2 linked regions of the Astyanax mexicanus genome follow. The protein of the gene in region 2 interacts with the protein of the main gene of each other region in a biochemical or structural test. Links are inferred from orthologs where the notes say so. Each region holds a gene or a part of one and is shown on either strand. Other genes may lie near its edges.

The links. The genes of interacting proteins can lie anywhere in the genome.
Region 1: the proteins of ube2c (region 2) and rnf7 form a complex in vitro, tested with the Homo sapiens proteins (4 studies listed by BioGRID). The link is inferred for Astyanax mexicanus from reciprocal best matches to the Homo sapiens genes UBE2C and RNF7.

Annotation. Positions count from the first base shown.
Region 1 is NC_064416.1:32,163,526-32,170,628, forward strand, and holds the start of rnf7 (RING-box protein 2), read right to left. Parts: upstream 3,024-7,103; 5' UTR 2,965-3,023; coding exon 2,772-2,964; intron 874-2,771; coding exon 826-873; intron 1-825. Other genes in the region: pro-cathepsin H, read left to right, coding at 6,642-6,726, 7,049-7,080. UniProt on the Homo sapiens protein: Catalytic component of multiple cullin-5-RING E3 ubiquitin-protein ligase complexes (ECS complexes), which mediate the ubiquitination and subsequent proteasomal degradation of target proteins.
Region 2 is NC_064412.1:6,312,950-6,320,261, forward strand, and holds the start of ube2c (ubiquitin-conjugating enzyme E2 C), read right to left. Parts: upstream 3,021-7,312; 5' UTR 2,892-3,020; intron 1,972-2,891; 5' UTR 1,962-1,971; coding exon 1,861-1,961; intron 554-1,860; coding exon 526-553; intron 1-525. Other genes in the region: deoxynucleotidyltransferase terminal-interacting protein 1, read right to left, coding at 5,129-5,240, 5,588-5,643, 6,234-6,305, 6,394-6,454. UniProt on the Homo sapiens protein: Accepts ubiquitin from the E1 complex and catalyzes its covalent attachment to other proteins. In vitro catalyzes 'Lys-11'- and 'Lys-48'-linked polyubiquitination.

The DNA.
Region 1 (7,103 bases), on a different chromosome or scaffold from region 2:
ACATTATGGTCAGAAAGATTCCAGATTCCAGCCGTGCAATGAATTCTGCACATTTTTTCTGCATAAAAACAAAATTAGGGCGATTATGTCTCTGGGACTCGGTGCAGCCCAACCATCACAATAAGTGAGAAAACATATATGATTATTATTATCTCACATTTTTAGAAAGCAGTGCTGCCAATCATTTGGTTTTATGAAGTTGGGGTCAGAGAAGGGGTGGGCAAATTATATTGAATCCTAAAGAAAAAGGTGCTTTACAATATCTGACCCAACTTGGAGGACTAAAAGTCAAAAACAAAACAAAAAAATATGACCAAAATGAGCCAGATTATTTCGATTAGGGGTTCTAAATGTTGGTCTGACTCATTTTCAAGGCCAGAGTACATGTTTTGGAAAGCATTTGACATTTTATTGCAGCTATTGTGACATCATATCATTAATCAGCCCAATAAAATGTGATTGTTTAACCCATATCTCCTTTGTGTATATATTTAAGTTTGGTCTTAAATATCAGTGTGAAAACTACAAACAGGAACCAAACGTAAAACAAGGTAATGTTTGAATATCACCTTTTATCCAGACCAAGTGATCCAAACGACCTGAATAAAATCAAACTGACTGAAGGACACACACAAACTAGGGTTGATTACATTACTCAAATCGCTGCAGGTCAGTGTAAACAGCAACAACCACAGATGCTGAGTCATAACTGCAGGTCAGCATGTTGGTCATGAATACACAGGAGCTAAAATATTAGTCAACTGCTGCCATCTGTGGCCTGCTGTAACTGTGTGCACCTCTCAACTGACTGTCTGCTTTACTTACCAACACAGTCCTCTTGTTTATTTTCTGCCTGGCACCTCAGACACGCATCTACAAGACAGAAAGACAGACAGACAGGTTTCATTAATATTACACAAGTATTAATAACTATTTTATAAAAACATTTATATCGCTACCCAGCAAAATGCTTCCAAACACATACCACACACACCTACAACAAGAATGACTATATGGTAAGAGGCTCAAGATAGAACTCCTCAGTATGTTCCCATAAGGCAATCATATTGTCCACGGCCACTTTATTAAATCCACCGCCTTGTTCCTTCACCTATTATCCATCCAATCAGCTCCACTTCGCTCTGTTCTACCAATGGTCAAGACCCTACAGAACCACCACAGAGTGGGTGGTGCGTCATTCTCAGCACTGCAGTCACACTGGTATGGTGATGCTGCATCTAGTGTTTAACGGGTCATTATTGCCTGCCACAGTTAACTGCAACCGAACCATAAAAAAACAAGTGTTTTACACTGCAAACTAATTAAACGATAATTTAGCTAATCCACACTGAGAGCAGGTCTTTTGGTTGGCCCAAAACCTGCTATTTTGGTTTGGACCAAACTGAATAGTCAAAGGTCTGCACCAAACATGAAAAGTGTGAAGGCAGCCTTTAACACTCCCAACATGTAGATGGAATAAAGTCAGAAAAAGATGCTTTGAATCTGTTGCTGCCCAGTTTGCAATTTGTGTTAGTGTCTGGTACAAGGGGTACGAGGGGGCCAGACACAGACATAGCAGTGCTGCTGGAGTTTTTAAACACGGTGCGAGTCGCACTGTCCTCTCTATTAGACACCCTAAACAACAGTTGCTCCTACACTTTGTAGATAAAGCAAAGTCAGAAACAGAAACCCTGAATCTGTTGCTGCCAAGTCTGTGCTGTTCATTCTCTAGTCCTACATCAGTGAGCACAGGACACTGCCCACAGGACACTGTTGTCTGGATATTTCATGTTGTTGGTGAACTATCTATTCTCAGTCCAGCAAAAACACTGATGTGTTTAAAAAGGTGTTGTACTCTCTGATATTCTTGTACCAGCACAACACACACCAGCACATCATACACCACCACTATGCCAGTCAGTGTCACTGCAGTGCTGAGATGCTCTGTGGTGGTCCTGACCATTGAATAACAGATTGAATAGATTTCTACATAAAAAGGTTTCATATTCGATAAGGAACATTACTGAAACGCATAATTGTAACAGAAAATATATTTTAAAAAACGTTAATCTGCTAATGTCAAAATATAATGAAAAAAAAAAATCATAAAATTAGCTCTTTCCTGAATTCATTTTAAAATCAATATTTTTCTGAAACCTTTAGTTTTGTTATGTTTGTCTAGTTTTACGTCTATTTTCAAACATACAGAGTCTGGGTTGATTCCTGTTACTGAACTGAAATTATTAAGTGGAGTAGAGAGTGAACAGGCAGCTTCTCCAAGTGACCTGTAGATTTTAAAGCCCTTAAATTTACAGAATGTAAATAAGTAATTTTAATGCAGACAAAAAAGGGTTTGTATCACCTAATGTTACACCTGTAGCCCGTATACGAGACAAGGCCTGTAAACGGATTAATAAACTATCCAGCTTTCAGATACAGACTGCTCTTAACTGTTTAGCTATTTAGCTAGCTAGCTAATATTCTCTGTGAGATAGGATCTTTTGGCAACAGCAGATAGCTGCACATAATCCGCCCACATAAATATAGCTACAGCTAGCTCATCCAGCTCCATCATACCAGAGTCGAAAGGGCTGCCAGCTGGCGGATTCAGCAGGTTAGCATTAATACCGATGTCAGGTGCTGAGCTGGATTAGGTAACGTTGGCTGAGCTCGGGGGGTTGTTCAGTTATTTGGTTAGTTAGCTCTTTAGCTGGTTAGCTGGCTAATTAGCTGGTTAGCCGAGCAGCTAGCCGCCCCACAGCAGCACCTACCCATGACCTGGACCCGGCAGATGGCGCAGGTATCGCACTCCACGTCCCAACTCCACATGGCCACCGCATTCCACTTCTTTAGAGAGAACATCTTGTCCCCAGCTGATCTGGAGCTGGACCCAGAGCCGGACCCGGAGGAGCCGCTGATCGAGTGCACCAAAACCGGCTCGTCTCCGTCATCCATCTCCGCCATGGCAGAAAAGGGCAGCTACAAAATGGCCGACTCCAGCAGAGCGTCCGGCCGCCCCGCTAACGCTAACACTGACCCAGGATCAGCGGCTCAGACCCAGCCCGGCCTGACCAGCACTGCCGCAGAGCACCGGGGCTGATCCCGGATCAGCGAGCAGCGATAAATTACCACAGTGATCCACAGCTAAAGGGGGAAAACAGAGAGAACTACAGCGAGGGGCTGAAATAAACAATTAATGTAGTAATTAACCCCTAACAGCCCAAACACACCTCTCAGCGTTAATTAAATATATAAACATATAAAATTTAGTTTTATTTGTAAGGTAAAAAAAAAAAAACACCAGTGCTTGCACATAAGTCCTAACAAAAGTGATCTAACTGCATAATGTTGCTCTGAGGCAACAACTAAAACACGGTTTTAATAAGTAGTTATAAGAAATTATAATTCAACGAATTAATAAAATAAAATAAAAACAAAACTGAAATATAAGAAAAACATTTAAGAAAAACATTAAATTGGTATCTCATAATGATGATTTACTATATCAAAATAATGATAGTATCTCAAAATAATAAATTAGTATTTCAAAAATTGACTTACTATGTTAAAATAATGAGAGTACCTCAAAATAATGAGATAGTATCTCAAAATAATAAAATAGTAACTCAAAATAATAAGATAGTATTTAAAAAAATTAATAATAATAATTAGTATCTTAAACCAATGAAATATCAGTTTACTTAATAAGAAGAAAAAAATGTAAATATATATATATATATATATATATATATATATATATATATATATATATATATATATATATATATATATATATTATATTATATTTATTTTACGTGAAAATATATTTATATATATTTATTTAATATATTTATTTATGTGAAAATATAAAGAGTAGAAGTAAAAAGATGAGGAAGATGGATGATCACAAGGCATCAAACCAAGCTGAACTCCTTGAATTTCTGCAGCTGGAGTGGCATGAAGTTATCCAAAAGCAGTGTGTAAGACTGGTGAAGGAAAACAAGCCAAGATGTACGGAGCCCGGGAGGGGCCGTGGATAAAAAAAATAATAAAATCGAGTGAACGATGTAGCAGTTCGTGCTCACGTTTTCTTTAATTCGAGTGAACGATTTGCAATTCGTGCTCACGATTTCTTTAATTCGTGCTCACGATTTCTGTAATTCGTGCGCACGATTTCTGTAATTCGAGTGAACGATTTCTGTAAATCGTGCTCACGTTTTTATGCGCAATAAGACAAGAAGCTCGGAGGGAAAGGAGCATTTTCTCTCTTGATCTGTTACAGGGGTGCAGTAATGATAATCAGTTATCTACCTTTATAACCTGCTGTTATTAATGCACTAGTGTTACAGTTAGATGTACAGTACAGTGAGCAGATTTTGCCTGGTGGTGGAATCTCTACAGCGCGTGGGGGAGAGCCGTCCGCGGCATCGGTTCCCCAAGCCGCCAGACACCTGCCGCGCGCGCAGGTCTTCACGGAGCTTATTTACCAACAATGTAGACAAATACAGTCAATTCCAGTCATGAATAAAGGAAACAAACATTTTACTGATGCAGGACAACTGTGTGTTATTAAAACCAGATCAAAACAAAGTTATAATGCAATGTGCAAATGTGTTTATTAATTTCTAAATAACATTCAGCCAGCCTCCAAGGAAATGCACACCTTCTTAAATCTGGTTACATCATTATTACTTTTATGATAGATTTAATCTATATTTTAATAATTTGTATAATAAATAAACACATAATTCAGAAAATATACATTTAAGAAGTTTATAATTATTATATTTTTTTTATTTGAAGCTTGTGGCATGTTTCTGGGCAGGACACTGATTTGAGAATAAGCAGATATTCAGGACATTTCATCAGATATAGAAACTTAATTATTTTAGGAAACATATTGGAATAAATTATCAAATTGATCCAAATTATTATATGAAATGCCTATTTACTAAATATCTTAATACATTGTATTAATAGTATTTTAGACCAGCTATTTTGATTTTATATAGTGTTACATATTTAAAGCAGCTCTTATATGAGCCATTCATAGACAACTGTCACACCTTGCATTAATTTTGTATTATCTTTATTAACTTTTACAGTGTACATTTGGACCTAAGTCTTATAGCTGTATATTTATATAATTATACTTCTTTACGTTATACTATTGTTGAAAATAAGAAATTATAAACAGTTCCACATTGCATTATAACTTTGTTTTGATCTGGTTTTAATAACACACAGTTATCCTGCATTAGTAATGTTTGTTTCCTTTAATCATGACTGGAATTGACTGTATTTGTCTACATTGTTGGTAAATAAGCTCCGTGAAGACCTGCGCGCGCGGCAGGTGTCTGGCGGCGGGGGAACCGATGCCGCGGACGGCTCTCCCCCACGCGCTGTAGAGATTCCACCACCAGGCAAAATCTGCTCACTGTACTGTACATCTAACTGTAACACTAGTGCATTAATAACAGCAGGTTATAAAGGTAGATAACTGATTATCATTACTGCACCCCTGTAACAGATCAAGAGAGAAAATGCTCCTTTCCCTCCGAGCTTCTTGTCTTATTGCGCATAAAAACGTGAGCACGAATTACAGAAATCGTTCACTCGAATTACAGAAATCGTGCGCACGAATTACAGAAATCGTGAGCACGAATTAAAGAAATCGTGAGCACGAATTGCAAATCGTTCACTCGAATTAAAGAAAACGTGAGCACGAACTGCTACATCGTTCACTCGATTTAATTGTTTTTTTTATCCACGGCCCCTCCCGGGCTCCGTAAAGATGCATGAAAACTGTGAATAAAAATCAGGGTTATTCCACCAAATACTAATTTCTGAACTTTTATTTGGAATTTGGGAGAAATGTTGTCCGTTGTTTATAGAATAAAACAACAATGTTAATTTTACTCAAACATAAACCTATAAATCCTATGAATAGCAAAATCCAAGAAAATGGTTTAGTAACTGAAGTGGTCTCTTATTAAAAAAAACTGAATTTCGAGATCGTCGTCAAAATGCCAACGTTTTTTCAATGTCAGCTCCACGTTGGTTTGTAGGTTGTGCCCAAACTAGGGTTCAAGTCGCTACCCAGTGTAAGGTGTAGCGTTCTGTACACACCTATCCACATCTACCCAAACAAATGCGCGCACCAGTTTTGGAGCACGACTGGACCGTGGCTGCTGTGTGTGTGTGTGTGTGTGTGTGTGTTTGTGTTCTGTGCCCTATGTGTCTGTCTGTGGGTTTTTGTTTGTTTCCCGTGAACGCGCGAGCGCACGCACAATTGCCATGTTCCAGCCATGCTCCAATATTCGTGTGTGAGAATTTGGGCTGTTTGGTAATAAGCTAAAGACCAACGTGGAGCTGACGTTGGTAAAACGTTGGCATTTTGACGCCGATCTCCGCTCCTTTATCCAGCTCCTTTATCCAGCGTTCTAAAAAATACTGCCAACAACAGACCAACGTTGGTCTGACTTCGAATTTCGACGTGCGACATAGACAACATTTGGCAGCATACTGTTGCTATCTGGGCCCGGGGGGCGGGGTGGGGGAGTTTCAGCAGCGCCTCCATCGGGTTGGCTGTGCTCTGCTCCGGCGCTCAGAGCTGCTGGAGGAGCGGACCCGACTCAGTCATGAAAACAGCGGCTTTAATAACAGCGACCGCCTGCCTGGCGGTTCTTTACTGCGTCTGCGCTTCTCCTATTTTAACTGAGGAAGGTAGGAGTCCAGTTATCAACTTTAAATCAAGAGAGAGGCCAGTTTAACAACATACAGACTTTAGTTTCGTTTCTGCTTTTGTTTTCTTCTCTTCTACAGACCCTGCTAAAAATACAGCTCAAGAACCAGACAAAACACATATACCATATAGTTAACCTAACGAGCTAGTCTAACAGCATAGTATTTATATATTTATATTTTCTAGATGACAGCTGGTCTGAGCTGGATATTTAACAAGAGAGTCAGGTCCAGTGAAAAACTTTTATTATTTAATGCAGTGTAACGTTGTATAATAAACATGCAGTCTCTGTTTGTCCTGCAGATGAGTTTGCCTTCAAAACCTGGATGTCTGAGGTAAAAAAAAAATCCCTCTCAGT
Region 2 (7,312 bases):
AAAATAATAAGAAATACAATACTTAAATACATTTTTTCAGTACTTAGTATTACAGGACAAAATGTATAGTGGCAGATTGAGTTAATTAAATAGAAATGTCATCCACAATGTGATGAATTTCTTTCAATTTAACAGGACTTCAAAACATGCTGTAGGTCTGTGTGCTTTTAAGCAATGAAGAAATACACCAGTTACACAGATGTGCATCACAGATTACTAGGGGTGGGCGATATGCTAATAAAAACCACCACAATATTTCATGGTACTTTTTCAATTACAATGTTCTTGGCTATTTGAAAAACACAGATTTTTTAAATGTATTTATCTTTTTTATTTGTGTCATTGTTTTTTTTTTGTGTGAAAGTGTGTGTGTGATACGATATGGCACACCCCTACTGATTACACCACCACATTTCTCACGTTATGCTACAATTTTATATTGCCCAGCCCTAATGTATACTCAAGCATTAAAGAGTAAAAATGTTACTATGAAAAAATGTAAAAATGTAAAAATGTAACACTCACCATTAAAGTCATCAGCTCATTTTGAAGTCTAGAAACATACAGAGACCAAAAACAGCAATCAGTAATGTGTAGGTATTTATTATGAAGTAAATCAAGATTATCAGTACATGGTGTTGGAAAAAATAATGAAAGACAAAAATAAATATATATTTCTTAAAGGTTTAAAAACTCAGTGCACAGCTTTACATGCAATTCAGGACAAGGATGTGGCAAGAAGGCAAATTGGAGGTATAAAGTGCAGTTTGCAAAATGTGCATCTGTGCGTATCCAACACGATACTGTGCACTGAACAGGATGTGGAGCTTAGCTATTGACCTATGCTACATATTTATATACATAAACAGGCCCCTTTTTTCTTTTTAAAACTCTATTCAGCATATAGTAATAGCATATTTCTGTGTAGTGTATACTAGTAGTATCAGAACTCAAAGCATCTAAAATTAAGGGACTAGAAGTTGAAGCTTTAAAATTTCAAAATGAACAAATAAGAATGGACACATACAATTAATAAAAATAAATCTTTACTGTTGCATTGCATACTATTACGCCCCCATGGACTTGTAATGCGATGAAAGTCATGATAATTATCTGTCAACTTCTACCATGACTATCAAGTTATGATACTAGTTTTAAAGAGAATTCAACTTTTTATGAAAATGTAAGAACCAGTTAGCAAAAATGTTGGAAACGTTTTAGGAGAAATCTTTTATTTTTTTTGTTTGCATACAGTTGGTTCAAAGCTAAACTGTAAGGCAAATAAACATTACATTTGTTTCTAAAGTTAGGCCAGCATGTGTAACCTCTACGCAAGTGATAGATGTTGAAAATGGCACTAAAATTTGTATTTTAACACAAAACTATAGAAATATTTTTTTAAGCATAGATGGGATTTGGAGTCTCACAACAATGCAAAACACGTAAGGGATTTTGAAGGATTTTAATAATTATACTTCATAGTTAAAGTTTATAGTTACAGAGTAGGGACAGGTAACAAATTATATATTTTTTCAGTTTTCCAAAAAAGATTACACAACTAACTGTTGTGATTAGGTTAATGTACAAGACACTATGATTTTTAATGAAATGTATTACTATGTGCACATTTATACATGTAATGTTAATTTCCTGGGTCCAGAAAAGACACAGATTCTGCAGAATATGCCATGTGCAGTTGACCTCAAGATGAATAGCTGTTATGGTGATAGCAGCTAATGAGGATTCAAATAAAACAATAAAACAAAACGTGCGTGTTCCTGTAAAACCAGTATCGGCCTAGAATTGCCATCAGTGCATCACCACTGGTTCTGGAAGTGAGGACGGAAAGTCACTGCGTACCTTTTTGAAACTGAGCCTTTGGGAACATTTCCGCCAGATTCATTTCCTTTCAGAGCAGCTGTGGAGGAGGCTGCCGCAGGATCCAGATTTTGGGAGGCCATTGCTTAAAACCTGAGAATCGACATGACTTGGTTATGGATTGAGTGTCATTCAGCAGTGTGTTCATAACATTAACAATATCCATTATAACAGATTATTACATATGTTACACCTCTTAAACTAGGTTAGCCAGCTACTAAGCACATCACAATGAAAAGAGAGAGAGAGATAACATTAACTTACATAGTGCAGATCTTTTACATGTTCGTTTTTATTATCTATTAAACATACATGGCTAATATTTTAACCTAACTAACCCACCCTACGTAAGAATATCATCATTTCTTTAGCTTCTCCCTTTTTTTAAACTCAAGTTGAATTAACGTTAACCTAATCTAGCTCAGGACAAGCCAGAGCCCTGGGTTAGATAGAGTTACCGTTAACAATACGTATTTAATCTAAAATCTAACCATTTTTAGCCTCAACCAAACGTTTAAAATGATTAGCTAAATCGTGACATTTCAGTTAAATAGCTTATTAGCCACACAAGCAAAGCAACGCCATTAAAACACTGCAGTGCGACCAAACCGTTGCTATGTTAGAAACCGCTAGCTTAGCACAGCTAAACGCAGCACACGTCCAAAACATAACGAAATAAATAGCGTTAACGTTACTAACATCCAACAAACTTGTTAACTAGGTTTACTATAGATACTTAAGTCTTAGGTTAACATGTTTAAAGCATGATATATTAATCTAACGCTAGCTAAAAGAGCAGTTGTAGTTAGTTAACGCTAGCTAAGCTAGGCTAGCTAAGTTAGCTTCCTAAAACACAGCAAATTTAAAGCCATCCCACACTCTATATCCAACCAAATCGCTCAAATTAATTGTTAAATCGATAACCTATCGATATACAAATCAAGCTTCATTATTATTTCACAATAAAAGCCACAAAATAGTAAAATTCAGTGCGTATTTAGGCTAGTTATTACCGGCTGCGTCCAGTCCCGTCTCTAACAGTCAGTAAAACTCCACAGTGAGATTTTTAAATCTTTATCCCGCCCCCCTGTTTAAACTGACTCTCACCCAACCGCTCCGGCGCTCCGCCCAGCCGCTCAGCCAATCAGGAGCCAGCGCTCAAAACAAAAGTCTGTCCTAGCAACCATTGAAAAACGCGCTTCACGATTTTCTTCGATTTGATTGGACGTCGCGCCGGCATGGGGCGTGGCTCGCGACCGTTGAATGCAGTACAGACAGAGCTAGTTTATATGGACAACCTACCCTCTTCCTATCTCCACAGCATTTATATATAAATAAAGGGGAAAAAAATATTTTACTAAATTGTAAATCTCTTGAATATAGTCAAGAGGAAGATGGATGATCACAAGCCATCAAACCAACCTGAACTGCTTGAACTTTTATTCAAAAGTAGTGTGTAAGACTGGTGGAGGAAACCAAGCCAAGATACATGAAAACTGTGAAATAAAAAGCAGGGTTATTCCACCAAATATTGATTTTTGAATTCTTAAAACTTTATTAATATAAACTTGTTTTCTTTGCATTATCTGAGGTCTGACAGTTCTGTGTCTTTTTTGTTATTTCACTATTGTTCACTATTATGTTCATTTTACTCAAATATATACCTATAAATAGCAAAATCAGAGAAACTGGTTCAGAAACTAAAGTGATGTCTTCATTTTGAGAAAAGTTAAGCACTTATTTCTTTTATTGTTATTGATTATGGCCTACAGCTAATGAAAACTCAAAAACCAGTATCTCAGAAAAGTAGACCAAATGGTTCTTTTGGCAGTGTGAACAGTGTGCCAAATCTTGCTGGAAAATGAAATCCACATCTCCGTAATAGTTGTCAGCAGAGGGAGACATGTCTCTCCAAACCATCACTGATTGGTGGAAACTTCACACTAGACCTCAAGCAGTTTGAACTGTGTGTCTCTCCACTCTTCCTCTAGACTTTGGACCCTTGATTTCCAAAAGAAAAGCCAAAATGATGGTCGGTGATGGTTTATAGAGTCGTGTCATCATTAACCAACAAATGGCACTATTTGGCCTCATTGCGATGCTGAGGGGAAGTTGTCAAAGCGGGGGCAATTCTTGTCAAGGCGACTGGCCTAACTATAAAGCCCTGTGGGGAAACCCTGCGAATTGTCATGCCCCTGGGTTATGAGGGCCAATGCACAATTCAATACTAGATAATACATTAATCATGTTTTGTTTGAACTATTATAGCAGCCCACATACAGGCCACTGGGAATTGTCCCCGGTACTTCTGGCAAACAATCAGTCCCTAAAAATTGGTATAAATTGCAGGGAATATTGAAACATTAGCATAACGTGATCCCACGTTATTTAATCTTCATAGATACAATATGTCAGTTTAACTATGACCTCTATTAACTACGCAAGACAATATTAAGAGCTAACATGTTTGATTCTAAGCCATTTGCAGGTTTTAATACTTTTTTGTCTGTTATCTGTTGTATTCAGTAATGACCAGAGGATGGTGGATTCCTCTTTTCAATGCAGGTTTATTTCTTGGTGAGAAACTAATAAAATACATGTTATTTTCATGATAACTGTAACAGCTTTATTTATTTCTCTTTTTTATTTTTTAGACAAAATAAGTAACAATAAGATACAGTAGTTTATATTTTGCCTACTGTAAAACAATGCATTAAAAAAGACATGTGAACCGCATGCAGTTTCCTAAAATATAGGCGAGGCTAGAATATTTCTTTGAATTACACATGAAGAAAAATTATTTTTAATAAAACTCAATTTTTTTTTTTACATATGTAACATAAAATAAATGTCAGCCAGAACAAAGACAAGCAGTTCAAGTAAAAACCAAATCACAAGATAATTTCTGAATTAAAAAAAGAAAAAGAAAATTACATAAGAAAAACTCATTCTGCCGATTAAAAAAAAAAGAAAATAATAAAAAGACAAAGCAGAGCCTAACAATCTCTATAAATACTGGTTTATCAAAATAAAATCAGTAAAAATATGTTGGTTTGCACTTCTCCAGCATGAAGGTAAACAACTAATTTCTAAGCTTGACTATAAGGCAAGTCAACAACAAGAACGAAAACTAAAAATAATGCAATCTATGTTGTGGTTCTCTGGGATACCAAACTATGTGTGGTCCAGTCATGTTTATTGGGGTTTAGAAGGTTCATTATCTGTTTTATGACAGTAAGAAATATGTCTCTTAAACATCCTTCTCAGATCTCTGAGCCTCCATTGCCTTTTGCATCTTCTCCAACATCCACGGAGGCACAGCAAACGGCTTCAGTTCCTCCAGCTTTAACTCAGGGCAGTCTCTAATAATTCAGGAGAAGATTAGATATGATTACAGTCTTATTGTCTCTGCATATTTCCACACTTTAAGTGTAGTTCAGGAAGACCAAGCTCCTATTATACTTGTGAGTCGAAATTGGCTACAAACATTTACTCTGTAAGTGATATTTAGATATGGTTTAATATACATTTTTATACTTTATATTAGTAAAATGTAAATATGTAAATACTGTACTTATGTACTTGTATCTGTATCTACTGGAGTATTATTTTTACTTCACTACTGTACTTCAGAACTAAAAAGCTGTATCTGTAATTTAGTCAGTTTAATCATGAAACCAGACTGGTGCTGATAATTAACGTTACTTACTTGTATTCATCACTTGATGCAAGCTCTTTGATGTCCTCTTCAATAAGAAGATACGCCTGAAAAATGCAAATCACAGAAACTGATATAATTGTTATTTAAAATGTATTATTTTATTATTATCATGATGTATTGAAAAATAATGAATAATCCAGTCACATCCATGATCACAGGTGTATAATAATAAAAGCAGCAGCTAGGAATGCTGGGACTGCTTCTACAAACATTAGTGAAAGAATGGGTCTCAGGCTCTCAGGAGCTCAGTAAACTCCAGCACTGTGGTGCCATGATAGGATGCAGAACCTGTGTACCAAGTCCAGTAGTGAAATTTCACTACTCACTACTAAATACTCCACAGCCAACTGTCAGTGATATTATTATAACACAGTGAAAGAGACTGAGAACGGCAGCGACTCTGTGCTTCAGTGTTAAATAACAGTCACTACATCACTACACACCTCCAAACTTCATGTAGCTTCAGAGTTCATCACTACACACCTCCAAACTTCATGTAGCTTCAGAGTTCATCACTACACACCTCCAAACTTCATGTAGGCGAGCAGATAGCTTTAAATACTTAGGTAACACAATATATGTCTTAATTTCTGATGATATCATATAACAACTATATCAATGTTTTATGACCTACCATCTTTCCACCTGTGGCTCTCATATGCTGTCGCTCTGCAAGCCAGTGTTTGTCCTGAGCATCAGCAGCATACTGAAACACACACACACACATTTAAAACAGTCACTAAAATAAACAGTGAAGAAGCAACTGGGCCACAAAGCAAAGAGAGCCAAAATACCTTAAAGAGGTCTGCATGTTTAATATAGATCCTTCCTCTGGTGCCACCCATTCCTAAAGCCCTAAAATAAAAACCCATTTGTCAATATCATTAATTACTGTGACATGCATATGTGAATACTTGGTGTATACTCAATATATTGTTTTTTTATTTTATTTTGAATAATAACAATGAAATGCAAAATTATATAATGCAGTCTATATCTTCAGTCTATTGATCATTACAATTTGAAACAATTAGTAAGAATTGAATCATTAGGAATGTATGACAGCAACAATGTGCATCTTAAAAAAAATAGAATATCATTGAAAAGTTACTTTATCTCAGTAATTCAGTTCAAAATGCGAAACTCATATACAATACTTTATAGATGTATTACACCCAGAGTGATCTATTTTAAATGTTTATTTATTTTATTGTTGATTATGGCTTTCAGCCAATAAAAACCCAAAAATCAGTCTGATTATTGTATTGTTATTGTCTCAGAAAATTAGAATATAATACAAAACCAACCGGTACTTTTGGCAATGTGGGCAGTGTGCCAAGTCCTGCTGGAAAATGAAATCCACATCTCCATAAAAGTGCTGTAAGATTTTGTGGGAAAACAAAACTGCACTGACTTTAGACTTGATAATAAAACACAGTGGATCAACACCAGCAGATGACATGTGTCTCCAAACAAACCATCACTGATCATCAGTAAATTTTACATTTCATTTATAAATCAAGGGAGCAGAGTCTGGAGGAAGAGTGGAGAGACACACAGTCCAAACTGCTCGAGGTCTAGTGTGAAGTTTCCACCAATCAGTGATGGTTTGGAGAGACATGTCATCTGCTGGTGTTGATCCACTGTGTTTTATTATCAAGTCTAAAGTCAGTGCAGTTTTGTTTTCTCACAAAATCTTACAGCACTTCATGC